Oryctolagus cuniculus: one gene and its partners. The protein of the gene in region 1 purifies or fractionates together with the protein of each later gene. This does not show direct contact. Links are inferred from orthologs where the notes say so. Each region holds a gene or a part of one and is shown in the gene's direction. Other genes may lie near its edges. The genes, in order: ACTR3B, ARPC1A, ARPC5L, ARPC5, ARPC1B, ARPC3 and ARPC2.

What was found.
Region 2: the proteins of ACTR3B (region 1) and ARPC1A purify together in Homo sapiens (affinity purification with mass spectrometry; 5 studies listed by BioGRID and IntAct, counting the BioPlex papers as one, with this or other methods). This does not show direct contact. The link is inferred for Oryctolagus cuniculus from reciprocal best matches to the Homo sapiens genes ACTR3B and ARPC1A.
Region 3: the proteins of ACTR3B (region 1) and ARPC5L purify together in Homo sapiens (affinity purification with mass spectrometry; 3 studies listed by BioGRID and IntAct, counting the BioPlex papers as one, with this or other methods). This does not show direct contact. The link is inferred for Oryctolagus cuniculus from reciprocal best matches to the Homo sapiens genes ACTR3B and ARPC5L.
Region 4: the proteins of ACTR3B (region 1) and ARPC5 purify together in Homo sapiens (affinity purification with mass spectrometry; 5 studies listed by BioGRID and IntAct, counting the BioPlex papers as one, with this or other methods). This does not show direct contact. The link is inferred for Oryctolagus cuniculus from reciprocal best matches to the Homo sapiens genes ACTR3B and ARPC5.
Region 5: the proteins of ACTR3B (region 1) and ARPC1B purify together in Homo sapiens (affinity purification with mass spectrometry; 5 studies listed by BioGRID and IntAct, counting the BioPlex papers as one, with this or other methods). This does not show direct contact. The link is inferred for Oryctolagus cuniculus from reciprocal best matches to the Homo sapiens genes ACTR3B and ARPC1B.
Region 6: the proteins of ACTR3B (region 1) and ARPC3 purify together in Homo sapiens (affinity purification with mass spectrometry; 6 studies listed by BioGRID and IntAct, counting the BioPlex papers as one, with this or other methods). This does not show direct contact. The link is inferred for Oryctolagus cuniculus from reciprocal best matches to the Homo sapiens genes ACTR3B and ARPC3.
Region 7: the proteins of ACTR3B (region 1) and ARPC2 purify together in Homo sapiens (affinity purification with mass spectrometry; 6 studies listed by BioGRID and IntAct, counting the BioPlex papers as one, with this or other methods). This does not show direct contact. The link is inferred for Oryctolagus cuniculus from reciprocal best matches to the Homo sapiens genes ACTR3B and ARPC2.

The regions. Positions count from the first base shown.
Region 1 is NC_091438.1:21,155,744-21,160,045, reverse strand, and holds the start of ACTR3B (actin-related protein 3B), read left to right. Parts: upstream 1-1,434; 5' UTR 1,435-1,548; coding exon 1,549-1,592; intron 1,593-4,302. UniProt on the Homo sapiens protein: Plays a role in the organization of the actin cytoskeleton.
Region 2 is NC_091450.1:41,600,083-41,602,705, forward strand, and holds the end of ARPC1A (actin-related protein 2/3 complex subunit 1A), read left to right. Parts: intron 1-502; coding exon 503-593; intron 594-1,674; exon of another isoform or gene 1,675-1,676; coding exon 1,677-1,715; 3' UTR 1,716-2,052; downstream 2,053-2,623. UniProt on the Homo sapiens protein: Probably functions as a component of the Arp2/3 complex which is involved in regulation of actin polymerization and together with an activating nucleation-promoting factor (NPF) mediates the formation of branched actin networks.
Region 3 is NC_091432.1:228,720,542-228,724,846, forward strand, and holds the start of ARPC5L (actin-related protein 2/3 complex subunit 5-like protein), read left to right. Parts: upstream 1-1,504; coding exon 1,505-1,653; intron 1,654-4,305. UniProt on the Homo sapiens protein: May function as component of the Arp2/3 complex which is involved in regulation of actin polymerization and together with an activating nucleation-promoting factor (NPF) mediates the formation of branched actin networks.
Region 4 is NC_091444.1:1,522,930-1,527,297, reverse strand, and holds the start of ARPC5 (actin-related protein 2/3 complex subunit 5), read left to right. Parts: upstream 1-1,549; 5' UTR 1,550-1,650; coding exon 1,651-1,793; intron 1,794-2,744; coding exon 2,745-2,826; intron 2,827-4,368. UniProt on the Homo sapiens protein: Component of the Arp2/3 complex, a multiprotein complex that mediates actin polymerization upon stimulation by nucleation-promoting factor (NPF).
Region 5 is NC_091450.1:41,604,648-41,608,964, forward strand, and holds the start of ARPC1B (actin-related protein 2/3 complex subunit 1B), read left to right. Parts: upstream 1-1,500; 5' UTR 1,501-1,633; intron 1,634-4,317. UniProt on the Homo sapiens protein: Component of the Arp2/3 complex, a multiprotein complex that mediates actin polymerization upon stimulation by nucleation-promoting factor (NPF).
Region 6 is NC_091452.1:8,116,156-8,120,296, reverse strand, and holds the start of ARPC3 (actin-related protein 2/3 complex subunit 3), read left to right. Parts: upstream 1-1,329; 5' UTR 1,330-1,539; coding exon 1,540-1,545; intron 1,546-4,141. UniProt on the Homo sapiens protein: Component of the Arp2/3 complex, a multiprotein complex that mediates actin polymerization upon stimulation by nucleation-promoting factor (NPF).
Region 7 is NC_091434.1:21,132,563-21,136,614, reverse strand, and holds the start of ARPC2 (actin-related protein 2/3 complex subunit 2), read left to right. Parts: upstream 1-1,204; 5' UTR 1,205-1,387; intron 1,388-1,604; 5' UTR 1,605-1,612; coding exon 1,613-1,686; intron 1,687-1,693; exon of another isoform or gene 1,694-3,035; intron 3,036-3,149; exon of another isoform or gene 3,150-3,932; intron 3,933-4,052. UniProt on the Homo sapiens protein: Actin-binding component of the Arp2/3 complex, a multiprotein complex that mediates actin polymerization upon stimulation by nucleation-promoting factor (NPF).

The DNA.
Region 1 (4,302 bases):
GAAGTGGAGTGGCTGGGACTCGAACCGGTGGCCATGTGGGATGCCGGCACTGCAGGCAACGGCTTTACCTGCTACGCCACAGCATCGGCCCTTCTTCTTCTTTTTTTAATATAAAGATTTATTTATTTATTTGAAAGGCAGAGTTATAGGGAGAGGGAGAGACAGAGAAATTTTCTATCCAATGGTTCACTTCCCAAATGGCTGCAATGGCCAGGGCTGGCCAGACCAAATCTAGGTGCCAGGAGCTTCTAGGTCTCCCACGTGGATGTAAGGGCCCAAGGACTTGGGTCATCTTCCACTGCTTTCCCAGGAGCATTAGCAGGGAGCTGGATTGGAGTGGAGCAGTCAGGACCCCAACTGGTGTCCAAATGGGATGCTGGTATCACAGGTGGTGGCTTTACCCTCTACACCACAGTGCCACCCTTATTCTTTTCTTCTCCCCTCCCCTCTCCTCCTTCTCTCTCCCCTCCTCTCTCCTGCCTTCCCCTCTTCTCCACTCCTCTTCTCTTCTCTTCTCCTGAACATTTTTTACATCTGGGCTTTATTTAACTCAAACATGTAAGAAAAAAAATGATAATGGTTAAACTGGAATTATCAACACATCTACTGTTTTCCTAGAGAAAAAAAAGTTATGAAACACGTGTCTTTCTAGAAAACTCCCTAAAAATTAATGCTAAGAATTTATAATAGGACAAGAAGTTGGCAGCAGTGGGACATTTGGTACCTTTATAGCATGGTGGGTAGGTTTTGCCTTCTTCAGTCTCTGATTTCCCTAAGAAGTTTTGGATAATGATCTTGTCTTTGATACTTGAAAGTAGTTTCCAGTAATACTAAAGGTACGGTATTATCTCAGTCTGAGGTCATTCATTCCTTAAGGTTAGCCATGCATTTGTCTTCCAGATTTTTCTTCTTAGAATAAATTGTGCAGTGCTCTGCCAGATATGATAATTGTAATATTTTTTCTCTATATGGTGAAAATTATTCACTCATTCACTTGGGTGTTTTCCATGTTTGCACTCAATACTGTGTTATGCATCCATCAACAATAGTCAGACTGGAACCCTTTCCCAGCACAGCCTACTGGCCAGTGGAAAGATAGATTACAAATAAATAAATATTAAAAAAATTTGCTTCCAAGAATGAGATGGTAGAGACAGAGACTAAAGTGTGGGGAGGGGACCTAGTTTGGGTGATCGGGGACAACTTCCCTGAGAAGGTGACAATTTAGCTGAGACTTAAAGGATGAGCAAGGAGTCATGCCTTGGAAACAGGGTCACGTTAACCGCAGGTCAGTTAAAAATAACCCCCAGCCTCTCCAGCCTGAAGGTTGGACGTATGGGCTTAAAAGCTTCGCTGCCAGCACCAAAGATGGCGAGTGAAGGGGGCGGGGCTCGCGCGTTCCGATTGGCTAGTCCGGGGGTGGCGTCACGTGGCGGCCACGGAGCATCCGGGCTCCCGGCGGCGGCGCTGCGGAGGCTCGCTGGAGAGGCGGCACGCAGGTGAGCTGGCAGCGGTGCGGCCGGCGCCTGAGCGCCGCGCGTCCAGACCATGGCGGGCTCCCTGCCTCCCTGCGTGGTGGACTGTGGCACCGGGTAAGACCCGCTCGGCGTCTACCCCCGCTCCTCCGCGGACCCGCTCCCGGCCCCGGGCACCTTGCCCTCACCTGGTGGTCGAGTTGCGCTCGCCGCTCCGGAACTCAGGGACCCATGACTGGGCACTGACAGTGGGGTCACTGCCTCCGGGGTCTCCGCGCGGCCCCCGCCGCTCCCATCAGGCTTAGCCCTGATGCTGTGATGTCCCTTTTGGGAAGGGCCACGAGAAGAAGGTGACTGAGGGGGAGGGACGTAGTGTCCAGTCCGTGTGCCCACTTCTCCTGGCCTGTCCCCTTCTCACGTGGCCCGGCGGGAGGGTGCCCTGGGCGCGCAGCCCCGCGCCGGCCTCCGGGATGGACACCCTGTCGGGAATCCGAGGTCAGCCGCATCTCACCTTGCTGGAGTGCCTCTGGGGCACCCATCACTGCGGGTGTGTTTTTTTTTAACGTCACTTACCTGCCGGCTAACGTTGCCCCTGCCCTCTGATGTTTGCTGGCCTTGGTTCTGTGCCCTCAGGCGCGTGTCATTTCTCCTGGCCCATGCTTTTTGCCGCCTACTTGTGGAGATATTTACATTGATCTGCCAACTCCGACAGCCTGTGTAATGCCCACTCTGCTCTTTTCCAGGGTGAAAGGGCACACTCAGTATAACGTCTTGCTTTTAGTTTTGCGGAGACTTGCCTTTTTGTTTACACAAGATGTTTGAAAAGACTCCATTTTGGAAAAGCAGTGTAGATTTGGGAAAACCTGTTTGTGGTATAGGTTGGTCTTTTAGGGATGTGATGGCTTCTTGGGGTGTCAAGCTATTTAGAACGGACTTCAGGGAATGTCTTGTATTTCCAGTCGCTGATTTTCAGCGAGATGATTGCTGATAGTTTGGGAATACAAGCTTGCTTGCTTGCATTGTGGGTTTAGTACTTAATAGCCCGGACATAAATGTAGCCTCTGAAAGATTTTTTTTTTTTTTTTTTTTTTTTGAGAAGAGAGTTTAATCGTTTTGCCACAGAATATTTCATGGCTCAGTCTCCCTACCCTTGATTCTGTTGTGTAGAAAGATGCACTTGGTTTGGTTTCCCTGACAACCTTGTGGGGGTGTCGTCTTTAATTTGCTACAGTCCATCTCCTACTGATAGTTCTTTGCCTTTGCTGCTCAAGCCACCAGTGGTGGTTCCGGGCCAGGGAAAAATTGTGGCCTTTTTGTTTGTGCCAGTTTTTCTTTTTGAAATATTGTACTAGAAGTTTTTTGGCTTTTTAGTTTTTAGAAATTGCTTTAATACTCAAAACACAAGCCAGAATCAGTATTATGTTACAGTTCTCCCTCCAGTTGTTGAGGACCTAACTCTTCTCCTCCCTCCAGTTTCATTGTTCACCCTGCGCCCCTCTGGCCTGGCTGTGTTATGGGTGAAGGCAACATGTAGAAGTATTTTCCAATGTCACATTTGCATGTGAGGCTTTTGCTTTTGTATTTTTGGTCTGGCAAAAGCTATTGAAATAACGAAGCATTTCTTGTTTTGTAGCAGTCAAATAATGCTCACAGAGTTTGTCATACCTTTGACGTTAGTAAGCTGGGGGCCTTACTCATTCTTGCTATAAATATCTGAAATGTGCTCAGTTTAGATCTTTTGAGGTAGGTGATAAATGTAACTGCTCACTGGGACATTGGGCCTCAATAGATCTTTGTTTTGTGACACATGCTTCAGTTGTTGTAGGCTTTGGTGTTGAGACCTAGAAACTGTGTTAGGGAGTCTTCCCAGTGGGTTTCCCATGGACATAATTCTGTCATGGAAACTGCTGCAGTTAGCAGGCATGAATAGCCCATGTCTATTGTGTGGCCAGGAGCAGCCTGGATGCCCCTAACGTTACCTACTTTAATGTATTAGTAGTTCTTACATTTCCCCGACAGCTAAATTGGGTTTTGGATTGACTTTTGCCTCAAAATAGGACAAAAAGCAGTGCAATGGCAGATAAAAATAACCAAAACCAAGGGAAAGAATGGGCCTGGGAAATCACCCCAGACTGTAGACCATTGGTTGCTGTAGTTGGTCATCATCTGGCATGGGTTTTTCTATCTGATAATATCACAAAAGAACCATTGTTATGTAATTCCCGTCATCAGGAAGGAAGAGAAGTACCTGTTTCTCATTTGAAAAGGTTTTTTTAGTACTAAATGCTAAAAGAAAAATTTGACATTGAATGATACATAGTGGGCACTAATGATTTAGTGGATAGTGCTCTGAACAATGTCTATTAGAATGTTTTGTGCTAAACAGTGTTCTAAGTAATGATAACAGGGTACTGAATAACAGTGTATTAAACAGTGTCCTAAGTAATGATAACAGTGTACTGAATAACAGTGTATTAAACAGTGTTTCATCCTGGTAACCTCAAGTTTCTGATAAACCGACCAGCTGGGTGAAAGCCCGAGTGCCGGGGGCCGGTATAATACAGAAAAAGGGATGTGATATATCCAAAAATAAAGGTTCATCTATTTAAAGGAATGACTAGGCGGCATAGTTTTCAGTTTCCCACAAGTCCAGCATCACTTCTCTTAACTGTACTTCTTTAATGAAGACTTTTGCATTTTAAAATTTATTTTGAAGTACTTTCAAATATATTGAAAACTGAAAGAGAACAAAAAATGATTGTGCTTTTCTAGTTTCACCTATTAACATTTACTTCATTATTTTGTGTATGTTTACACATGTTTTAAC
Region 2 (2,623 bases), on another chromosome or scaffold:
CCGGCCTCGCCCAGCCACTCTCATCTGGACTCTCACCTGGTAGTAAGATGGTTTGGGTCTTTTCGGAGTTAGATTTCCACAGCCTCATACTGATGGGCAAGTGAATATTTAGGAGTGAACTGGGCCAGGGTTGTGGTGTGGGTTAAGCTGCAGCGTGCAACGCGGCATCTCCTATCAGAGCGCTGGTTCAGGCCTGGCTGCTCTGCTTTGGATCCGGCTTCCTGGTAACAGTGGAGAGTGGCCCAAGCACTGCCACCCATTTGGGGGACCCGGATGGAGTTCCTGGCTCCTGGCTTTGACATGGCCAAGCTGACTTGTGTGTGTGTGTGTGTGTGTGTGTGTGTGTGCTTTCCTTCTCAGCCTTTTGGATGTGTAAACCTTTAAAGAGCATATCCAGGAGTTAAAAGCAGCCCATTCCCTTACATTGCCCGTACACGGTGAGGAAGGCCAGGCTCACTTCCACCACGTGCCGGCAATCTCATTTGCTTTGCTTTCCTTTCAGTCAAGTGTCTATTTATGAGGTGGACAAGCAAGACTGTCGCAAATTTTGCACAACTGGCATCGATGGAGCCATGACAATTTGGGATTTCAAGGTATTTCTGCCTTTCGGAACGAATCTGTTTGTGTTCAGACTCTTCCTATAGAATAATGTTTCTTAGTTCTTGAAATGTTGTCCAACATTGTCAAGATGGAGAAGGAGGAGCCCCTGAGGGTCTTGTCAGGTCAGGGAGCGGTGGAGGGAAGAGTCAGAGCTCCGCAGAGGCCGGCACCCCTGTTTCTGCTGGAGGGAGGTGTCGGGAGGGCGGGACTTGGAGAGTAAACTGATGTGAGCAGGCTCAGAGCATACAGGGCGCTCCCGGCACCGCCCTGGCCTGGGCCCTATGGAGGCACAGGAGCTGGAGGGAGGAGCCAGGCGAGGCCGTGTGTGCAGAGGGCTGCGACTCCTCGGAACCCCAGGAGGAAGAGCAGGCCGCAGGCGAGGGCCCCGGACTGCAGCGCTGAGGACGGGCGCTCCGGCACAGGGCCGCGGCCGGGAGGTTCTAGAGGGCCCAAGAGGAGGGCCCAGTGACAGTCAGGGGCAAATCTGGACTCCGCCCTTTCTCACTGGGACTGCACCTGGTGGGCGAAAGAGGGAACCAGGAGGAAGAGCCAGGGCAAGAGAAAGGTTGGCTCGGGATTTAACTCCTTCCGGTCGTGAACCTCCGAAACAGATGCACACCGACACAGTTTTACCACTGGCTGCGCCTTCCACGGTGATGGACCCCATCCCCGTCTAGCCCAGGCTCGGAGCCTTCAGACGAAGAGCGGGCAGCACCTCCTCCCCTTCCTCCGCTCCTGGGCGGTTGGCACCACCTGGGCAGTTGGCACCCAGCCCCCAACCAGCTCGCCTGTTCCCTCTGACCCATGTGGGCCAGGAGCCATGGAGCATTTCTCCCCTTAATGCACGTGCGGGCTGTACCCAGCTGGCTGCCGTTCGGGCATTTAGTGTGGTGAAGAGGCAGGGCATGCAGCCAGGGGCCCTCGTCCACAAAGGCCAGTGACACAGGACGGGGAGCTAGGCCGGCCCTATGGGCTGGGAAGGCCAAGGGAGAGCCCCGCTGGCGCGGCTCTGCAGGGCGGAGGCGGGGAGGGGCTCAGCCGCGGGGAGTGACCGGCCCCTTCCTGCCTCTCTGCAGACCTTGGAGTCGTCCATCCAGGGCCTCCGGATAATGTGAAGCTGCGCGAGCCTCCGCCATCCAGCATGACCGCTGCGGCTCTGCCATTAGCATGATGGTGAGGAAAGCCAGCCCCGAGGAGACACAGCGCGCAGACCCCGCGAGTGTCTGACTGTAATTGGTGAAAGTGTCGGTTTTTTAAAGCAGCAGTGTTTTTTTTTCTTTCTTTCTTTCTTTCTTTTTTTTTTTTTTTTTTTTTTTTGCGATTTCATTCCATTCTTGACCAAAGCTTCTCTTTAAGTAGTTTATTATGGAAGATTGTCCACTAACTTAAAGGAAAGGGTGAGGGGGGTATGTAAATTGTCCACTAGAAAAGTAAATAAAAATCCTCAATGTGTTCGGTTTTTGTTTGCATTTTTAGTAGGAAAATCTGGTGAACAGGGTGAGGTTCTTCATCAGAGTGAATGTTCATTTATAGGCTGAAGTCTTAGATGTCAGCCTCTTAAACTGCCCGTCCTAGACAGCCTGTGACCAGAGAACCATGGACCGGGAGGGGAGGTCCCCGGGGGCCGTGCCCGTGGCGTCTGAGTAACAGGGCAGCCCGTGGCCCAGAGCGCCCGGCCGGCATGGGGCTCTGGAGTGTGCGAGTGGGAGGGAGGAGCCGCCGAGGGGTTCAGAGGTTGTGGGGCCCAGACTGACCGGGCTCGTCGTCCTCAGCTCTCGTGTGTGGCCCCCAAGGCCGAGTCTTAAGAGGCACAGCATACATGAAGAGCGAAGGACATGCACCGGGCGCTCGTGAGCGCGGCCCTGCCGCCGCCTCCCTGCACGGGTGACCAGGGCGGCGGGGCCGGCGCGCGGGCGGGCTGCCTGCTCTCGGAAGCGGCTCACTTTGCCCTCTTGGTGGCTTCCGGGAAGCCTCCCTTCCTCTAAGAGAGAATCTTAGCGCGGGGGTGCTGGCCGGCGGCGCT
Region 3 (4,305 bases), on another chromosome or scaffold:
CTGTTGCGGCCATTTGGAGAGTGAACCATCGGATGGAAGACCTCTCTCTCTCCCTCTGTAACTCTGCCTTTCAAATAAATAAATTTATTTATTTGAAAGGCAGAGTTACAGAGAGGGAGACAGATCTTCCATCTGCTGGTTCACTCCCCAAATGGCTGCAACAGCCAGGGCTGGGCCACGCCACAACCAGGGGCTTCAGTGTGTGTGCAGGGCCTAAGCATTTGGGCCATCCCTGCTGTTTTCCCAGGGACGGTAGCAGGCAGCTGGATCGGAAGTGGAGCAGCCAGGACATGAACCAGTGCCCGTGTGGGATGTCGGCTTCCCCCACTACACCACGCCGGCCCCTCAAGTCCCTTATCAGGATAGTCTGCGGATACAAACTTCTGCTGTCACGCGGCCTTCCTGAGTCAGAAAACTTCCCAAGTATAGAGTTGAAATGCAAGAGGGCTTTGCCTGCCACGGACGAGAAAAAAGAGAGGACATGCCCCGGTTCACTCCCCACACGCCAGCAAGGCCCAAGCCTGCAGCCAGGAACTCACTCGGGGCTCCCAGGTGGGTGGCAGGGGCCGGCTGCCTCCCAGGGTGCACACAGCCGGAAGCTGAAAGTGGGGGCAGAGCCGGGACTCAGGCTCCAATAAGGGATGACTCCAATATGGGATGCAGGCTTCCTGCCGGCTAGGCCCAACACCAGCGGCCCCGGCAGCATTTTTATCTGCAGACACAGTTGAATGAGAAGTATTCAACAAATCATATGTGAAACACGAACTTTAGCCTAAGGCTGAAGTCAGTTAACAGAATCTCTCCGGCAGCAGCCCAGGCTGGAACCCGACCCTGCCGCTGCCCTGCCGCCCAGCCCCCCAGCTCAGACTCTGGGAATGCCGCTCCCGGCGCGCAGGGCCCACGTCCCGGCCCTCCGGCCAACGACGGTAGCCCCAGGGCCATCTCCTCCTGGCGGCACGAAGTCGCCGCACCCTCAAATCAAAAGGGCTCCAGAGTCGTCAACCCCTGGACGCGCTCTGCTTCATAACGGGGTCACCTGCTCTGGCTCAGTGCAGTGCGTTCGAGGCCCCCTCCCAGCAGAGCCGCGCGCGCTCCGTCCGGGGAGTGATGACCCCTGGACTCCGCGGCGCCCTTCCCTGGGAAGGAGCTCCTCGGAGAGAGAAGAACCAGAGAGCGAGCGCAGCTATGGCGCACACGGCGTTAAGCCTGCGCGGGCACGAGGCATCCACACCCCGAGACGTGCAGACAGAGCCGACGAGGCACGAGGAGACCATCCGTGACACCGCCGCGCCGGCACGCCTCCACTCCCCTAGGCCGCGCCCTCCTTTGCGCACTTCCGGTTCCGGCGCAGACCGGAAGTGGGCGGGCCGGCGGCTGCGCGCGGAGGAGGTGGAGGCGGTGCCCGGCGGCCGCTTCCCACCCCCGAGCCGGAGCCGGTGCCGAGCGGAGCGGAGCCGAGGTCGGTCCGGGAGCGGAGCCGGCTGAGCGACGCCGAGCTCCCACCATGGCCCGGAACACCCTGTCTTCGCGCTTCCGCCGGGTGGATATCGACGAGTTCGACGAGAACAAATTCGTGGACGAGCAGGAGGAGGCGGCGGCGGCGGCGGGAGAGCCAGGCCCGGACCCTAGCGAGGTGGACGGGCTCCTGCGGCAATATCCTTCCCCGGCGGGGCGGTCCGGCCTCCGCGCGCGCTGCGGCCTGGGCTCCTCTCTGGTGCGGCCGCTCCAGTTCCCTCATGCCGGGCTCGGGCTCCCGCTGCCCTTCCTGTCGGTCCCGGCCGGTCAGTCTGTCTCCCTTCCGACCCGGCTCCCCTCTGCGCCGGGCCGCACCGCAGCAGCTCAGCCCTGGGCCTTGGGGCACAGCTCTCGGCGGCCCCAAAGCTACGGCGACCGCGCCTCGGGCCCAGGCCCCTCGCCCCCCATCGCTCCCTCCGGCTCTTGCGGGAGATCGGGCGGCTGCAGGGGCCGTCGGGGCCTGGGCCTCCCCGGTTGCCCGCACACCTTGTGAGTAGGCGGCGGAGGGCGGGGAGGCTGGGCAGACCCAGCGGGGAATGAGGGCTGCAGCCCGGGGCGGCCTGGGGTCCGAGGCCGTGCGCTCCTGCTCCCGAGTCGGCCGGCCCCTCTGCACGCCAGCCTTGCGCACCCGTTCCCATTTCCTCGGAGCGCCTTGGGCCCTGCACCTGCACGCTCCCGGCCGCGCTTCCCGAGGGAATTTGCCGGTCCGCAGGGGCAAGAGCGGCTGGTGTCGAGCTGAGAAGCAGCGCACGGCGCATGCGAGGTGCAAGGAGGCCCAGGGCTGGACAAGGCTGTCCGTGGCCGCAGAAAGCAGGCGGCTAGGGAAGATTAAAAATAGAGGTGATTGGCGCAGCCTGCCTGGGCCCGCCGCAGTCCGAGCACGGGAAACCGGCTCGCTGGGGCGGGCGGGATTTGCCTGTGCAGACGGTGGCAGAGGAAGTGCGTGCCCCTCCCCCGCCCCTGCCGGGCCGGGGCTGGAGGCTGCCGCCGCCGGGTGGAGGTCAGATGCCCCGCGTTGAGTCAGTTGACTCAGCTTGGAGGCCCCACTGCCTTCGGGAGGAGTTCTGCGCTCCAGCCCTCTGTTTGAACTAGAATGGGTTCCAAAGGTGGAGGCTCCAACCTGTATTTCCTGCCTGGCTCACCCTGCTGGGGCAGTGGGGCCGGGGAGGGGCCCCCGGGAGGGCCTGCTGGCGGCGGGGCCGCCGGCCGCAGCGCGCGAGCCCAAGGCCTGGGCAGCTGACGCCGACCTTGCTGTGCAGGGACTTGCTGAAGGGCGCCTCTCGCTCGGCCCCTGCCTGGTTTGGGTTCCTCGGGCTGCTTGGAGGCCTAGGGTCCGCTGCTCCTGGAGGGTGTGCCTCTGGGGTCAGGGGTCAGGGAGCGGGAGGTGAGCGAGTGAGGACTGAAATCCTGGGGCCCAGCTGGCGGGAGGAAAGAGCTAATGTTTATTGAGTCCTACCCTGTACCAAGTATTGGACTTTAGATAGCTGGATGTAAGCTGTAGAGTTTCTTTCTTTCTTTGTAAGTATTCATTCATTCATTTGAAGGCAGTAGATGTTTTTTTTTCCGCTGGTTCACTCCCAAATGGCTGCAATGGCCAGAGCTGGCCTGGTCCGGAGCCAGGAGCCAGGAGCTTCAGCTGGGTCTCCCACGTGGGAGCAGGGGCCCAAGCACTCGGGCCATCTTCTTCTGCTTTCCCAGGCACAGCAGAGAGCTGGAGCACGCAGTGGCCTCACCTGCTGTGCCACAGCGCTGGGGCAGAGGGGAGGGTTGCAGAGGGAGAGGTTACTTGACTGGGGGGAAGGGGCTGCCCGTCCTAGGGCTGTACAGGAAATGTGATGGTGGGAGGCGCCCAGGAGAGGTGGAGGACCACGGCTGTGCGTGCACACAGACCAGTTCCGCGCCGCTGCGGCTGTGTGACCTCGCACAGGCACACACCTGCCAGCCTCTGCTGCCGCCTGTTCATGGAAGGCAGCCTGCTGGGTGCTCAGCACACGACCTGGACCTGAGCGGCAGCGAGGGATTGTGGGAAGCGCTTGGGTCTGGAGGCGAGCTGGACGGCTGGACCTCGCCACCCTCCAGCAGCTTCATGGCCTTTGAAACCAGAATAGCCTTGCTGGGAGGGGTTTTCCCCGGGATGAGCCGCCGTGCGAAAGCCCCTGGCGGGTCCGCGGAGTATCAGTTCCCTTTCTTCCTGGGCCGCCTGTTGAGAGCAGTGGTTTGGTTCTCTGAGAGGGCCTCAAGCCTGCGGGGTGCAGACACCAGCTTCCCAGGGGCGCCCTCCCTGCTGCTCCCGGCTGCTGCAGGCCTTCCCTCGACAGCCTGGTGCCACTGAGGGTGCTAACAGGCCCCCGCCCACCCCTCTCCCCCGACCGGCCTTTGCCTACCGTCTCCGGACGATTGGGTTTGCCAGGAGGGCAGGCTTCAGTGAAAAGCATGCGGGCCTGTGTTCCTGTCAGCCCGGGACCCCAGGTTAGAGAAGAGGGGCAGAGCTCATCAGCGCTGCTGGCCTAGGGACCCTGGTTAGGCTGGGGGGGGACTGCAGAGCTGAAGTGCAGGGGCTGGGTCGCCGCCCAGTCTGAAGGCAGCGGGGCGCAGGAGGCCCAGCCCTGTCTGGGGGCTCCGTTCTCAGGGGGCCTCGCCGCACGGCGCAGCAGACACCTGGTCGGGCCTGGTGCTATTTCTGAAGCTTGTGGCTGAAGCCAGTGTTTCACATGATGTAACTCGGTTTAAAATAGGTGTCGCCTTTGGGGACTTAACCCAGATTGTCATTTTCTTTTGCATGCTGGGTAT
Region 4 (4,368 bases), on another chromosome or scaffold:
CTGGTAACGCTCGACCCATTCCAGAGCGCAGTGCTGAGCCCACGATCGGCAAACAATTCCAGAGGCCGCCCTACATCCCCCCGGCTGCTCCTCAGGCCGACGTGCACCCAACACGGCCCCAGTCTCCAAGGATTACCTAAGCGAGACCCCCTGGAGGGACAGGCGCGCAGGACGCGGGAGGCCCCGGCTCCGCCATCTTCCCTGCCATTTCCACCCGGCAGCGCCTCCCAGGTTCAGTTTCCTCTTGCGGAAAATCTTGATGAAAAAGAAAAAAGTACAGTCAGCTTGGGCATCTGAAGAAGCACTGCCTATGCCTGCGCTAAAGTCAGCAGGAAACACCAAAATACACCGTTCTTACATAACGCCAGTCGCCGCAGCAACAAGGCCAGCAGGTGGCCCGCAGTGCCCACTGTGTCACCTGGGTAGCCGGTGACAGCCCTGGGGGGAAAAGGCCAGCTGGCCGACTCCTCACTCAAACGCCACCCCCCTCCCATTCCCCAGCTTTCTTGCGCGCAGAACTTGGCCAAGTCCGTGGGAATAGGAAAACACTGATTTTACTGCAAGGAGGCTTTGAAGCCCACGCGCGGGTCTCCTGTCACACGCAGCCTCCGTGAGCTGTGTGCGGGACTCTGGCTAGGCGTGGATCTCAGGCTACTGCCCCGCACCGCTGCCCAGGAGCTCTGCGAGGGGCCGAGAGTACCCGCGTAGGTCTCCCCCGGCCTCTGCGCCCCTCTCTCTCCCCGCGCTGCCCGCCGCACCACGCACGCGCTGGGCACCTTCTGCGTGCGGGCTCCGCGTGGGGGGGGGGGGGGCGCGAGGCCGGCGTCACGGGTAACACGCGTTTTCCACACGCGTGGCGCGTCTGCTCCAGGAGGCATCGGGTAATGAGTGGGAGGGCCCGGCCGCGAGACGGGAGGCGCACACGCAGGGCGCGCTCCGCCCTCCGAGGTCCCGAAACGCGCCCCAAAAACACGAGTGGCGGGGCCGGGTCCCCTCAGCGCCGGGAGCCCACGCGCCCCCGCCCCGAACGCCCGCACCGCGAGCCCCGCAGGCTCACCCCCGGCTCTGCCGCCCAGCCCGGCCCCTGCCCCGCCGCCGACCGACGGAGGCCGAGTGGGTCGGGGTCCGCTCGCGGGGCGGCCGCGCGTGCGGCTCAGTCCGGGGACCCCGCGGGCCGCGCGGCGACTGCAGCCCGGGGAGCGGCCCCGGCGGCGTCCGGGAGGCGCGGGAGGATGCGGGCGCCCGGACACGCATCCCTCCGCCCCTCGGTCCTGCCGACAAGAGGGCCGCAGCGCGCCCGGCCCTCACGCGGGGCCGCGGAGACAGCTGACTGGAAAGCCCCGGCTACCCCGCCGCCGCCCACCTGAGACCCGTTAGGCTGGACCGCAGGCCCGCGTTTCTAAGGGAACCCGCGTCACGTGACGCGCGCGAGCGCCCAATCGCGTCTCGCCACCGCCCGCCGCGCCCCGCCCCGCGGCGGAGAGTCGCGCCTGCGCGCCGAGGGGGCGGGCGCCGGCCTCGCGCATGCGCGGAGCCCCCGAGCCGCGCGGCCGGCCACGCCCCGGGGCGGAAGCGGGAAGTGAGTCGGCAGCGGCGGCTCGCAGCGGTCGGGGGGGCGCCGCGGAGGCTCGAGGGCGGCGGGCGGCGGCGATGTCGAAGAACACGGTGTCGTCGGCGCGGTTCCGGAAGGTGGACGTGGATGAGTACGACGAGAACAAGTTCGTGGACGAGGAAGACGGCGGCGACGGCCAGGCGGGGCCGGACGAGGGCGAGGTGGACTCGTGCCTGCGGCAATATCCTTGCGGCGGGGGTGTGCGTGGGTGTGCGTGGAGCCCCGGGAGTGCGCGGAGCCGGCAGGCGGACGCCGAGCCCCCGGGAGTGCGTGGAGTCTCTGGGAGTGCGCGGAGCCCCGGGAGTAGGTGGAGCCCCGGGAGTGCGTGGAGCCCCGGGAGTGCGGGCCGGGCGTTCGCGGGAAGCCGCTGTCCGGCGGTGCCTGCTGCCCTGGGCGTGTCTGAGCAGCTGTGACCGGGTCCGCGTTTGCACCGGATCCGTGGGGGACACGGGGGCGCTGGCAGGAGCCGCCGCGGCGCCCGCGTGCTCGGGCTGTCCGCGCCCCGCGGCGGTGCGTGGGGACCGCTCGGGCCCGCGTCCTGCCGTGGCGGCCGTGTGAGGGCCTGGGGCTGTGCAGCCTGGACCCCGCGGCGCCGTGGGCCCGCTGGGTGGGCCCCGGAAGCCAGAGGCCGGCTGCAGCGATGGCGAGGGAGGGGCGGCGGCCGGGGCTTCTCCTTTTAGGGGAATGGCTGTGCCTGCCGCCGGCCTGATTGGCCCGCTTCCTTGCCTGCTCCCTGCTCCCTGGCGCCTTCGCGGACTGCTAGGTGTGGCCTCCAGGAAATGGAGCCGTCCACCGTCCACCCGAGAGCCGGGGCGTCGCCGCGCAGCGAGGCCGAGGTGTGTCTTTGTGCGCCCACGTAGCGCCGCGGGAGATGGCGGCTTCCCGGAGACCTGAGGGCGTGGGATCCTGACGTGCGTTTCGGGTCTCGGCACCTCTGCAGTCTGCCGAAGGTGTCCCGTGAGGGCAGCGTTACCAGGCGATCTCTGATGGTGCGAACCAAAAATAGCCCCCCAGTGCGCTGTTACCTTTGGTCGGCACCCCGAGGGCGTTTCTGAGTCCCGAGAAGCACCGGTCCCAGGGGCTGGCCGCTGCCCTCGGCTGCCCCCGGCTGCCCCCGCTGTTGCCCCTTAACCGCCAGCACAGGGAACATGACAGCCGCCCTGCAGGCGGCGCTGAAGAACCCTCCCATCAACACCAGGAGCCAGGCGGTGAAGGTGAGTGCCACCCACCCGGCCACACAACCGGCCGGCCAGCTGGGGACCGTCCGACACAGGAGGGCTCAGGGCGCGCTTTGATGGGGCTGGAAACGGCGGCCAGCCCAGCAGCCCGCTGCTCCACTTCCGTCCAGCCCCCTGCTGAGGGCCCAGCGCAGAGGGTGGCCCCAGGGCTTGGGCCCCTGCTCCCACACGGGAGACCAGGGAGAAGCTCCGGCTTCAGATGGGTCCAGCTGCGGCTCTTGCCGCCATTCGGGGAGGGAGCCAGCGGGTGGAAGATCTCTCTCCCTCTCTCCCTGCCTTTCAAACAAATAGACCTTTTTAAAAAAAGAAAAAGAAGATTTAAGAAAACAGCACCCTGGCCGACTTCGGAGAACGCGTGTTCTGGACGCGGGAAGTTCTGCGTGGGGGGGGGGAACCATTCCTGTGGCGTTCAGAGGGCCCTCGGGCTGGATCTAGGCAAAGGCTTTGAGACAAAAAACTGGCACAAAAACGAACAGGTTCCATAGGCCAGGCGCGGCACTTAGCTGTCAACGTCCAGGCCCTGGCTCCTGCTGACGGTCACCCTAGGAGGCCGCTGATGGCCACAGCGCCTGGCTTTGTCCCACCCCAGTGCCAGCAGATGGGACTTCTCTCTGTGCCCCTCTCTCCGTCTCTCTCTTGCTTAGTTATATGAATATTCAGCAGAAGCCAGGCAGTGGTAAAAGTGACTACCTTCTGGGGCTACCCTATGTTCATAGGATTTTTCTGTGAGTGTTTTTTCGAGGAGAAGCTTTATAGCTTCGCTCCTCTGTGTAGCGATGGACGTGAGTGTTTTCCTTAGCAGCAGGTTTGTTTCTGTAGCGTTGACCAGCTCTGCGCTGCAGAACCTACGCACCTAGTCTCCTCTTGTCACATACCTGGATGGAGTGGCTCTTCCCTGGTGAAGTTCCCAGCTGAGCACATTCTCGTGGCTGATCCTTGGAATGGACTCCAGAGTGAATTGCTGGCTGCAGCCGTGTCCCTTTGCGTCTTCCGTCCCCTGCAGCCGTGTTTCACTAAATAAGAACCGGTCTCTCGGGTGCTTAGTGGTTAGAACCAAGTCCAGCGCATCACCCCCAGGGCGGTGGCTACTCAGAGCCTCAGGAGTCTCCCTAATTAAATGAAAGTTGGCAGGAACAGGTAGATGCATGTGAATTGTCGAGGCGACGGTTTTTTTAAGGGGAAGCGTTGCTTTGGGTTTAGAAGTTGCCGGGAGCATTACTGAAATTTCCGTTTCGACACCTTCTGCTTTCGTGTGGGTGGTTTCATCACGGCCTGGGGGCGGCAGCTTGTAGCTGATGAAGATGGCTGTGTGAGTGGGGCAGCTGCACGGGCCGAGCTGCAGGGAGCAGTAGGCGGGAGAAACGTCCTGTAAGAACCCGGACGCGAGGCGGCCCCAGGGGCCGCTTTGTGTGACAGGGGAGGCGGGCGCTCCTTAGGAGTCCCTGTGTGTGACGGGAGGAGGTGACCTTAGATGTGCTGTGTGTGACAGGGGAGGTGACCTTAGATGTGCTGTGTGTG
Region 5 (4,317 bases), on another chromosome or scaffold:
AACCCATGGGAGGGGACTCTGACCGCTTGTGGGGTTTCCCTGGACACCTGACTCAGATGAACTGAAGGTGGTCTTGGGAGGGAGGACCGACGGTGTCCCCCTCCCCTGCCACTGACAGTCACTATCAGGGGCTCCTCGGATACCTGAATCTCTGGAGGACCAGCAGTGCCCCCTCTGCCCCCACCAACAGTTACCGGGGGGACTCCTCTGATCTCGGAGACGGGCACCCACAGCTCCCATGCGAGGATGGACACACGTCCCTCTTATGGCCACGGAGACGCAAGGGAGATTGTGCCAAGCAGCCTTCCCGCCTGGCTTCCTGCTGCTTGGGCCAGCGCCCTGCCCTGCTTGCCTGCCGGCAACCTGGCCATCGTCGTCCCGTGACCAGGAGGAGGCCGCCCGGCTGCAGCTCAGCCAGCCCTGAAACCTGAGCAAGGGGGCGGGGCGTCTCCACCGCAGCCATCCCGCGGAAGCCGGTTCCAGGAAGCAGCAGCTCTCTCTCCGGTCCCCAGGCTCCGCTAACCTGGGGGAGGGGGGTGCTGAGGGGATGCGGCCCAGGGCTCCCCAGTGTGAGGTCCGTGTCCCGTCCCCAGGCCCCTCGGCCTCACCTTAGGGACGTGGAAATGGGCACGGCTGCAGTGGCAGGACCAGGATCGACTGCCCAGTCGCTCATCCCCGCACACTCCCGCATGCCAGGCGCCAGACACCCTGAGGTCCATGTTCCTAAGTAGGAGGTGGGCTTTTGAGGATGGGCAGCAGAGGAAAAACAAACAGCCCTCAAGCCAGCTTTAAAGCAAAGCAGGTCACCCGGGAAGCGGACCTGAGCCTGGGCTGCGGGCTGGGCTCAGGCTGACCTGTTTTCTGTGGGATTCCCGCAGCCGGGGGCCGGGCTTGGATGGGGTCGTCCCAGGTCCCAGGTCCCAGGTCCCAGGTCCAGGAAGGAGGCGGGGGACAACGTGGGATGAGCAGCCCTTGTTTGAACAAACCTGCGGGAGCAGCGAGCTGGGGGCCCCGGCTAAGGACCCCCGCTCCGCGCCGGGAGCAATGGCCCTCCTGGAAAGCCCGGGCGCCCCCACGCGCTCGGACACGGCGAGTCCTCCCAGCCCCGCGGACGCGTGGAACGCAGCGTGCCCGGGGCTGAGTGGCCCGAGGGGCACGGCCACACCCTGCAGCGCGGAGCCCTGCCGCCCCGCTGACCGGGGGCTGGAGCGGCCCGAGCCGGCGCCGGGGAGCGCGGTCCCCCCGCCCCTGGGCCTCCCCCGCCTTGCCCCGGGAGGGCGGCACCGGCGCCGTCTACACCCGCGAAGGGGCGGCGCCCGCGGCCGGGGACCGAGTCTGTGGGGGTCCTCCTGCCCTGGCAGGTGGGGGCAGTCGCCCCTCGCCCCCAGCCTCAGTTTCCCCTTCCGGAGCTGCGCCGGGCGCGCCGGGCGCCGACGTCCGCCCCTCTACCCCGAGGGCTGGGCGGGCCCTCGCCTCCCGCGACCGCCGTCGCCCCGGGTCCCCGCCCCCGGCCCTGGGGCTCGGCCCCGAGGCCCCGCCCCCCGCCCACGAGGAAGTGGCTGCGGCGCGGCGCGGGGCGCAGAGCCGGCTCGGCGCGTCGACTGCCCAGAGTCCGCGGCCGCGGCGCCCCGAGGTGAGGGGCTCGGGCTGGGGCGGGGGCGCGGGGGCCGCCCGCAGGTGGGGCGCGCGGGGGCGGAGGGGGCCCGGAGGTGCGGGGCGCGGGCGGCGGTGGGCGAGGGGCGCGCTGAGCCGGCTGTGCGCCCCGGGAGCGCTCGGGGGGGGGGGGCTCCGGCCCGCGTGCGCCGCCCCGCCGCGCGCCCCCTCCGGCCCGGCCTCGCCGCCGCCGCGGTGGCCCCGTTACTTGGGGCCGGCGGGCCCCCTGCCCAGTCACTTCCCCCGAGCCTTCCGGGTTGCGGCGGCCGGGAAATGAGCTGGCGCCCACGCCCAGCCGCACCCGCCCCGCCCGCGGGGTCCCAGGCTGCGGGGTCCCAGGCTGCGCCGCTCTGAGCTGCGGGGCGCCCGGAGCCGTGCGGCGCCTCCCTTGCTGGAGGGGCGCACCCGGGGGCAGTGGCCGCGGAAGCCACGGCTCCCGGAAGTCAGGCGCACCCGTGGCTTTTTAAGTCTCAGAGACACTGGGTAAAAATGTCCGCTTTACGGACCGCTGACCTAGGCTTGGCGAGCCTCAACATGCCCCATCTGGAAAATGGGCACCTTACGAGGTCTCATAAGACAGCTGGCGACGGGCCGGGCACAGGCGGACAACAAATGGGTGCTATTGTGGCCGGTGTAAAGCCGGCCCAGGGTGGCCAGTGAGTCTGCCCAGGTGGCCCTGACCTCCTGACCGCTGGGGTTTGGAGCTGGCGCCCTCAGCTGTGCCATTCCCAAGCTGCGGTCTCAGTCTGTTTCCTCCTGTGGCTAAGCAGAGGGAGAACGGGTCGGGCTAGCCCGGGGCTGTGTACCGCTGGCCGGGCTGGGGAGGGCAGTGGGCTTGGTCGTGTGGCCAGGGGTCTGTTCCGAGAGTTGCGCTCCTCGCCCGGTCACATCACAGCGCACCGTGGCCTTGTCCCCCGTGACGCTCAGGGTGACCCCGTGTGCAGAAGGCCGCGCCCGAGTGGGTGCGGGTGAGCGGGGTGCTGCCCGTGTCCAGCGATGCTTTCTGTACAGCCGCGCCAGCACTGGGTGTTCCGTGTGTCTTAGCTCTGGGTGGGTGACGCGCGCTGGTGCGTTACGGTGTCTTGTGACTGTTGTGTGACCGTCCCGTGTCCCTGGACTCTGCCTTCGCTTGTAAGGATTCTAGAGCCGAGGAGGGGAGGAGCCCCCGGGGGGCTGCTGCACGGAGTTGAGCAACCGCCTAGCGCGGAGCGCAGTGGCTCTGAGCACTCCGCTGGGCGGGGACTTCCCGGAGCGCCTGCTTGGTTTGGCCTGGGATGCAGCCTAGAGTCTCTGGGCTGAGCGCAAAGCCAGGCGAGGAGGGGCTGCCCGCGGGGGCCCTGGCCGGCCACCCCTTCCCCCGTCATTTCTGGAGAAGCTCCCCTCGCCGGGGGGGGGGGGGGTTGCCCCACCAGGAATACCCCACCAGCCCCTGCCCTGTGAGCTAAGCTGTGTCCCCCCATTCTGGCACTCCTGGACGGAAGCCCTGGCCCCACCCTGCAGACCCAAGCCCGCCCGCCCCGGCCCCTGCTGCGGAGAGCTCTGGCCTCCCTGCTCCGCCCCCACGCCATCCCTGGGTCCCTTGCTGGGCGTGGGCTGCGTGGGCTGCGCTCCTGGGAGTGCGGGATGGTGAGGCTCTGCGGGAGCCAGTGGGGGAGTGTGTCAGGGACTGGGCCCCTGGCCCTGCCCCCCGCTGGTTGCACTTGGCCTCTGGGGGCTGGGGTGGGCACAGCCTTGAAAGAGCCCCCCCCCTCTAGTTCAGCAGCCAAGGAGGCCATGGTGATGTGTGGCTGGGAGTCCTGGGGGCCACGGCCACCACCAGCCTTTGCCTCCCACGGCGCCACGGCTGAGTGCTGATGCCGTGGGCACAGCCCCAGCTGCATTCTTGCAGTAGGGGGCTGGCAGCGGGCGGGCCTGCCCCACCCGGCCCCTGTGCCGTGTCCTAGGCTTAGGGGACTTCTTGAGAAGGAGTGAGTCGTGGGCAGAGTGGCGGGGCTTGGGGGCTGCTTCCCAGGTCTGTCTGGAGCCCCCGCTCAGCCCTCTGACTCCCACTTCCTCCTTAGTCCAAGCTGCAGCCGGGGCGTCATCGCTGAGCCCCCGCGGGAGCCACCCACATGGGGAAGTGGACCGTTCCTCTCTGCCACCCCCTTGTCTCTGCCCTGCCCATTTAAGGGGTGGGTTCTGTTTCAGTTCCTGCCGCAGTGTGATTGGCACATAGGCTCCCCCTGAACCTCCTGCCCCCACTGAGAACCTGTGTGTGCCAGGAATTGGGGGACAGTGCTCCCCAAGTCCTCTCGGCTGCATCCCCCACGGGGACCTGCGGCTGTGCTCCGTCCTCACGGCCTGGGGCACACGGCGTGTGTGAGAGCCGAGGCCCTGACACTGGGATCTGCCCCCCGAGTCTGGGCTCCACCAGCCCCCCAGTTCCTGCTTCCTGGGCTGTGGTTGCGGGCTGGGGTGGGATGGGGGAGGGTTAGCCTCCTCCGGGCCCTGGCCGGATGTCACAGTGTTGCAGGTGGGCTTCCGGCCTTGGCCTGCTTCTGCCCGGGGTGGTGACCTTGGCAGTGGGGGTGGGGCGGGCGAGCATGGTCACCCCTCCCCTGTGCCCTGTCCCCTTTGTGAGCAGCCATTGCCCGGCCCAGGGTACCCAGCAGCCTGCTGGGCTGG
Region 6 (4,141 bases), on another chromosome or scaffold:
GAAGAAGAAGAAAAGAGGCGCATTTTGACTGCCCTCGGGCTGCACGCCCTTCGTTTAGCTTCTAGAATCTGGTATGTGCTGTGGGCACGCTGGGAAGGGCCACATTCCGCTGCCTCACCCTCTGCCCACTGAGCTGCGAAGATGAACCCGACAGTTCAGTCCTGGGGTTTCACCGCCTCCCGGTGAGCCTGATGTGACTTCGCACAAACGTACAGCGGTTTGTGGGTGCCAGGCCCCGGGGGTAGAAAGAGGCGGCTCAGGGCTGATGGCCTGGTGGGTGAGACCAGGAACAATGAAACTTGTGCTGAGGGACAGGAAGAAAACCGAGTGAAATGGAGAGTGACTAAGGGGTGCTTGGCCTCTCCTCAGTGGAGAAATCACGTCGGGCCGCGGGGCAGGGTTCTTCAGTGTGGGACACTGGCAGGAGAAATGGGCTTTTCCCATGAATGGGTGAGACAAACCCGAGCTGTCCGTACGCTCCCGGCTTGTACACTCAGCGCTTTCGGCTCCTTGCATCCTCCCAGAGCTTACACGGTAAGTACTGCTGCCTCCGTTTGCAAGTGGAAATCGCACAGATCGCAGATGTTGGAAACAGGACCAAAACCCACTGTCCACTTCTTCAGCCGCTGCGCGAAGAATCGCAGTGCAGAGTGACATGCAAATCCCTTCTCTCCTGTGTCCGGGTCCCCCATTTGTAAAAGCCATGATTTTGGCCCGCGCCGCGGCTCACTAGGCTAATCCTCCACCATGCGGCACCGGCACACCGGGTTCTAGTCCCGGTCGTGGCGCCGGATTCTGTCCCGGTTGCACCTCTTCCAGGCCAGCTCTCTACTGTGGCCCGGGAGTGCAGTGGAGGATGGCCCAAGTGCTTGGGCCCTGCACCCCATGGGAGACCAGGAGAAGTACCTGGCTCCTGCCATCGGATCAGCGCGGTGCGCCGACTGTAGCAGCCATTGGAGGGTGAACCAACGGCAAAGGAAGACCTTTCTCTCTGTCTCAGTGTCCACTCTGCCTGTAAAAAAAAAAAAAAAAGCCGTGATTTGGCTTCATTCATTCGCTCGACACAGTCCTTGGAGACACAGTCCTTGGAGGCTTGCTGCATACCCTGACTGTAGGCGCAGGGGATACAGCAGTGAGCCGAGCAAAAAACCCTCCCTTTCTGTACCAAAAGTAAGGGGATCCTAAGAACTAAGGGAAAAGCGAGAGAGGCCGGGAGGTGGAGTGTGATCAGGGAATGCTCCACTGGAAAGATGAGCTTTAAGGAAAAACAAAGGATGCGACTATCAAATTCTGTTACCAAGATCCACGCATGCGCGACACGCAGATCCGCTGCCTAGTGCTCGGGCGCCCTCTAGCGCCTCTTCAGGAGCGCGCAGCCACGGCCACCTGCGGAGGGATTGGGAGGCCGGAAGTTCCTTGTTCTGCCTTTGCCCGCCCCTTCCGGCTCACTTCCGCCTACCGCGCCCTGGTTCCCACACCGGAAGCGCCGCGCTCTAACCCGGACCTGCACCTCTCGGTTGAAACCCCGGGGCTGCCAAGATGCCGGTAAGTGTGAGCCCAGAGTGTGCGGGAGACAGCGGGAAGTCGTGCGTGCGACGGGAGATGCGTGCCTGGCAGGGCAGGCCGGAAGCGGGCGGCTGGCGAAGGGAGGGGTTGGTCCCTGAGGTCTGGGGGGCCTGGGGCTGCTGTCCGCCGGGGTCGACTGCGGGGCAGGAGTGGGCCACGGCCCCGACGCGGGAGGAAGCCGCCGCGGCGCGTCCTGCCCGGTAGTCCCCGGTGGCGGCGCCCCCTCGCCCCTCCGCTCCCGGACGCGGGCAGGGTACCCAGAGGCTTTTTCGAGCCCCGAACCCAGGGCTGTGCTTTTCATGTTTCAGGGTCCAGCTTCTCCTTCGCCCCCGCACCCAGTCAAGCCCACTTCCTCCTCCGCCGCAGGGGGCGTGTCCCCGCCCGACCCCGCCTGACCCCGCTTCCTCCACTCCTCCCTGCCACCCCCGCCGGGGCCAGGGGGCCTGGGGCCCTCGGAGCCGACCCAGGGTCCGCAGCTGGTTTCCAGATGGAAGCATCAGAGTGGGGGTGGAAACAGGCCGTGCGGTTGTGTGTGGGCCCCCGGTTGCGGGGTAGGAGCACGGTGGCCCTGCGGCGCGTGGGATACCTGCAAGCTGATGGCTGTGGCAGCCGCCAAGGCCAGCACTCAGGTGCCCATGAGTGAAAGGAGTATTTTCAGGTGGTGACAAACGCCGTGAAGCAGGTGGATCGAGACCGTTGCTGCTCCAGATAACGCATACCTGTCCGGGAAAAGAACCGGCTGTTGTCATAGATAATGTTTCACGAATCGCATAGGTAGCATTGACTCCTGGGGACTGCTAGGCGGAGCCGAGCCACACGCTGTGTAGACGCTCCCGTGTGCCCCTCGTCACTGACCCTGCAAGGCAGATACCATTGTTTCTGTCACAGAGAAGTTAGCAGCTCCTGCAGGGCCCCGGCCGTGGACTCTGAAGCCCTGTGTGCAGTCCAGTTGCCCATAGAGCGCCCTGGACTTACCCTGTGATTGCTCATTTTATCTGGATCCATTAGCCTGGGAATTCTTTAATCCCAAGGACCGTGTTCTGGTGTGTTGCCATAGCACCCTGCTACATGTGCGCGTGGCTGGTGAACCAGTGAACACATGGTTGGGGCCCGTGTTGTCTTACAGAAAGCCAGCCGTCTTGTAAAAAGCAGAACCAGGAATCGGCATACAAACCGTTCTCATAAATGTGACTTTTCTCTGTCTCTTAACTCACTGACCCACAGGAGGCAGAATATGTCTCATTTTGCAAATTTGGAAACAGGCTGAGAGAAAAAAGTGGTGTCTTGGTGAAAGACATAAACCCAGGAGAGAGCAGATCTGAAAAGCTGGAGCTTGGGTTCTGGTTTAAATGCAGCTGGGGGTAGCTACCCCTGATTTAGATGGTGTTTGCTTATGTCCGTGTGGAAATACTCCCACCCACCACCCCTGTGCTGTCACTAACCATGGAACAGGAGAGATGCACAGTGTCACAGTGTTGCAGTATTTGTATTTCTACCATAAACGTAACACAGATAGAGCCTTAAGAACATAGACAGTGGTAAATGTAATTTGAAAATTAGGAGATGATGAGAACATATACCTTTGTTTTTTTAATAAATATAATTGTAAGGTTATATAATTTAAAGTTTTTATTTATTTGAAAGGAAGAGTAACGGGGGCCGGCACCGTGGCTCACTTGATTAATCTTCCACCTGTGGCGCCGGCATCCCATATGGGCGCCAGGTTCTAGTCCTGGTTGTTCCTCTTCCAGTCCAGTTTTCTGTTGTGGCCCGGGGCGGGGGGGGGCAGTGGAGGATGGACCAAGTGCTTGGGCCCCTGCACCCCATGGGAGACCAGAAGCACCTGGCTCCTGGCTTCGGATCAGCGTGGTGCCGGCCATAGTGGCCATTTGGGGAGTGAACCAACAGAAAGAAGACCTTTCTGTCTGTCTCTCTCACTGTCTATAACTCTACCTGTCAAAAAAAAAAAAAAAAAAGAAAGGGAAAGTTACAGAAAGAGAGTAAGTGACAGAGACAAACAGATCTCCATCCCCTGGTTCATGGCCGAAGCCAGGAGCTTGGAACTCCGTGAGCATCGGAGGGAGCTGCATTGGAAGTGGAGCAGCTGGGACTCAAACCGGTGCCCACGTGGGATGCCAGCACTGCAGTCAGCAGCTTAACCCACTGCACCACAAACGGGTTTAAATGTTTGGGAATGACTGTTTAATAACCAGCTTGCACCATTAAGTTGGTTTTCTTCTGTTTGAGAGATAAAGAGACACACACAGCACTCCCATCTGCCCACGATGGCCAGGGCTTTGCTGTGGCTAACGCCTGGGCACAGGAACACAGGCCTGGTCTCCCACATGGCTGGCAGCGACCCGATCACTTGAGCCATCACCACTGCCTCCCAGGGTCTGCATTGGCAAGAAAGCTGGCATCAGGGGCTGGGAGTCAAACTTGGCGTTGTGCTGTGGGCCGCGGATATCCTAACTTCCAGACTGAATGCCTGCCCCTAGTGATTGACTTGCTTGAGCCGGAAGCAGCCGGCCCCAGCACATCACTGTTGCCAGCCCTGCTTCTCCCCACCCTACCT
Region 7 (4,052 bases), on another chromosome or scaffold:
AGCATTGTGGTATAGTGAGAAGAGGGTAAAGCCACAGTTTGAGACACCAGTATCCCATACGGGCACTGGTTCAAGTCCCATCTGCTCCGCTGTCCATCCAGCTCCCTGCTAATGTTCCTGGGGAAAAAGCAGAAGATGGCCCAAGTCCTTGGACCCCTGCACCCTCGTGGGAGACCCAGATGAAGCTCCTGGCACCTGGCTTCAGCCTGGCCCAGCCCTCGCTGTTGTGGCCATTTGGGGAGTGAACAAGCAGATGGAAAATCTCTCTCTCTCAAACTGTCTTTCAAATTAATAAACAAATCTGTAAAAAGAAATCTATTTTTAAAAGCTGTCTACCCCTTGACGATAAAGGCTGGATCTTTGCTCATTTTTTGGATCCAGTCCCGTCCCTACCCCACCCCACTCACCCCACCCCGCACCAGCACATAACTGAAAAAAACCATTGATGTAGAAGGGACTCAACTAAGCTTGTTACACTTCCTCTGGAGGAGGACAAATGCAAATCAAGGCACACAGGCAGAAGGTGCAGACGTGGTGTAAGGATCAGTTCAGATTCCGCAGGCAGATGAGTAGGAGCTATGTCTCCCGCGGGGGCACTGAAAGGTGAGGGTTGGAGGCAGAGAAAATTATGTTCTGCGCATCCAGGGGCAGCCCCTGGCACGGAAATGGAGGCAGCACAGGGGTCCAGGGAGGCCCATCTGAACTGCCTGTTAACCGAGGTGACTATGCATCCCTTTCCTTCGGTGCCTTTAAACAACATAACTGATCATTTGTTCATTGTGTTTCCTTTACCACAGTATAAGCTCCACGAGGGCAGGACCCTGTCTACCGTGTTCACTTCCGCATTCGCGGCTCAGGACAAGAGCCCACCATCTGTTGGGGAAATGAACGCACGATGGTGCGACGGACTGCCACCCGTCTGGAATGAGGAGGAGCCTCCACGACGCACAGGCCGACAGCAAAGAATCCTGCCGCGAGATAAGAGCGAGCTTCTTGCAGGACCCCTGACATGACAGAACCGGAAGAGTGGATTTGGAACTCTGGGACAAGCGGGAGGCAAGTTCCGGGAAGGACCGCTCGGTGGCTCGCGGAGACTTGATGGGGCGGGGGTGGGGCGCTTCAGTGGGAAAGTAAAGCGGTAGGAGGCCTTGCGCATGCGCAAGTGTGACCGCCTCGCCCCACCCCGGGCGCGCCTGCGTGCGCGTGCACGAGGGAGCCGGAGCGGAAATGGCGCCGCGGGGCCGCGCGTCCGGGCGGCGAGCGGAAGTGGGTGTGAGAGCGGAAGTGGCCGGCTAGAGCCGGGGGCTGGGCGGGGACCGGGCTTGTCGGTGAGGCGGCAGCGGTGGCGGCGGCGGCTCGGCAGGCGGGTTGAGGCTTCTGGGGCCAGGTCTGTCGGGTGGGTGGGTGTCTCCACAGTCCGTGCGTGCGCGGGCCGGCGCGCGTCCTCCCCTTCTCTCCACCCCGGCCCCTCTCCCCTCTCCCCTTCTCCCGTCACCTACCCCACCCAGCCCCCCTTCTCAGGGGGCACAGGGCCGCTCCCTGCGTCCTTTCCTCCTTTACCCACCCTGACCCGCCCTTGTTTCTCCTTCCCCTGTCCGGGGCAGCCGCCGCCATGATCCTGCTGGAGGTGAACAACCGCATCATCGAGGAGACGCTCGCTCTCAAGTTCGAGAACGCGGCCGCCGGGTGAGCGCGCGCCCCGGGGCTGGGGTTTGGGGCGGCGTGGAAGGCAGAGTTGACCCCCGCTAGTCCCCGGTGCTGTCCAGCTTCCCCCCCGGGCCTGGCGGAGGGAGTTGGGAGGCCTGGCAGTGTGTAGGGGCTGCCCCGGCGGAGAGACGTGGGAGGCGATTGGGCGCGGCGGGTGAGGGGCAGGGATGCGTGGGGTGAGGCTCGGAGGAGGGATGCGGAAGCTGCGAGTGGACCGGAGTGTGCGTGCCGAGGGCCAGGGGACCTGTGGGACGTGAGGGCAGCTCGGGCCGGAACTGGAGCCCGAGGAGCCCACTGCCCTCCGTGTCCCCGTCATTGTTCTGAACCCGGAGAGAGCCGGTTTGCGACTGGGCTGGAAGGAGTTTTCAGGAATTCCCAGGACTGGAGGAGGGAAGAAGATGCAAGCCTAGATCGCCACCGGCGTTCTCCATCCCGCCCCCACCCCTAAAGGGAGCCCGAGGGGGGACGGAAAGCAGACCCAGCCTTGCAGCCATCTCCCTAGCTTCCCTTCCCGAACCCTCCTGCGAGCGACAGGGGCCGTTCTGTTACACATGTCTCAAGCACAGCTAATAGTCCTGCACCCACACCCTTTCCTTATCTCTTCCAAGAGTGTCGGGCTCTCTCTGCAGCCTGCACCCCGCACACCCCGCAGCCTTTATCTGCCTGTTGGCCTTTTAAATTCTCATACAAGACCCCTGGGCTGTGATTTCTTCTGTGGCAATCCTTGGCCGGTTACACACTTCACTGCTTCCAGAATCTATGAAGTTCTTAGATAACCTCTTTTTTACCGTTGTCTGTGAAAGACGGGCTTTGATTTCCAAGGCAGCCTTCACTGTCAGAGAGCAGAATCAGTGGAAGACGATCAGCCGCCTCCCCCAGAGCACCTTTAAAACATGAGCCAAGGACTTGAATTCTAGCTTCGAATTTTTGGTGGCCTGTGGTCAGTCCCTTTGCCTCATTTCCGCATCCGGGACGATGGGGCTTCACATCTTGGTTGCACAGTTGAGGAAATAAGTACAAACTCTTTTTGGTGAACTGGGAACCAGTAATAGGAAAGTAAATGCTTGGAGAGCCACAGATGGGACAGGATTGGTGGAAGGGAAATTTAAGTGGTCATAATGAACTTGTGACTTGGGAGGTTTTTTGTTTGTTTGTTTTTTGTTTTTTTTTTTGTTTGTTTTTTGAGTACTGGCTCACTGCTTAAATTGAATGGATTGTGGTTCCCATCTCTTTTTTGTAAGAACACGAACTACTTTCCTTGGAAGCAGTGCATACAGTGAGCTGAACGGTTTCCTGCCAGGGCCTGCCTGCAGTTGCTGATATTTCAGGTTAACTCAGTTCTTACTCTCAGCCCCTCTTACCAGTTCTTTGCATTTTAAATACTCAAGTGACTCAGTCCGGGATCTCATTTTGGGTGATTGCTCTGTGCTTTTTCTGAGCAGTGCACTGCACATAGGAGGAAGTTGACTTCACTTCTGCATTTTCACAACTGATCTCAATGCATTCTCAAGTCCAGACTGGCCAGGAATGAGACCTGGGTGGTTATGAGCTGATCTGCAAGATAAATGGCTGTGTGTCTGCAAGTAGAAACATGCCTTTTAGTGTAAGAGTACTTTCACATCTATTTGTGTATTAATAACCTGTGATTCCAAAATGTGTGGCCCATTCAGAACTTCAGTTCTTTCTTATAATTATTTTCAAAATAGCAGTTAATCATTTCAGAGGGATTAAAATGGCCCTCAATTTGGAAGGCATAGATTAGAGCTTGCAGGACTTTTTTAATAGACAGACATTGGTGGTGAGGTTGTATGGGGGCAAGGGTTGGGGTTGGCTTTTATTCCAGCCCATCTCCCCTTTGAGATCTGGCTTTCAATACAAGAGCCCAGACCATTCTGTGGAAAGTTTCGTTGAATCTTTTGAAAAGAGGCCGAGATACTCTGTGATACTCATGCCTAGGAGGTCGGGCATTCCTGGGGTTGCAAGTACAACGCCAGCAGAACACGGTGCAGCAGAGTGTGTTCCCAGGCACCCGTAAGAGGAGGCAGCAACGAAGCTGTGTTTGTCAGGGTGCTGCCCACGAGCTCAGCCCAGGGTGGCGGGGGCGACCATCATGAACACATGGGATTCTACCAGCGCTCAGCACCAGGCAGCAACTGATGCGGCGGGAGGTCTTTCTAAGAGAGCACATTAGCAACAGAGCTAAGAGGTGCAGACATTAAAGAAAGGTAATAGCTTGGAGGAGAGCCGTGGGGGATTTAAAAGGCTTTGCCATTGTGGGAACCTGCTGAAAGAGGTCTGTTCCACCTGTTTTTTATGCTTCTCAGAAGAAACCAGTTGGGGAAGTT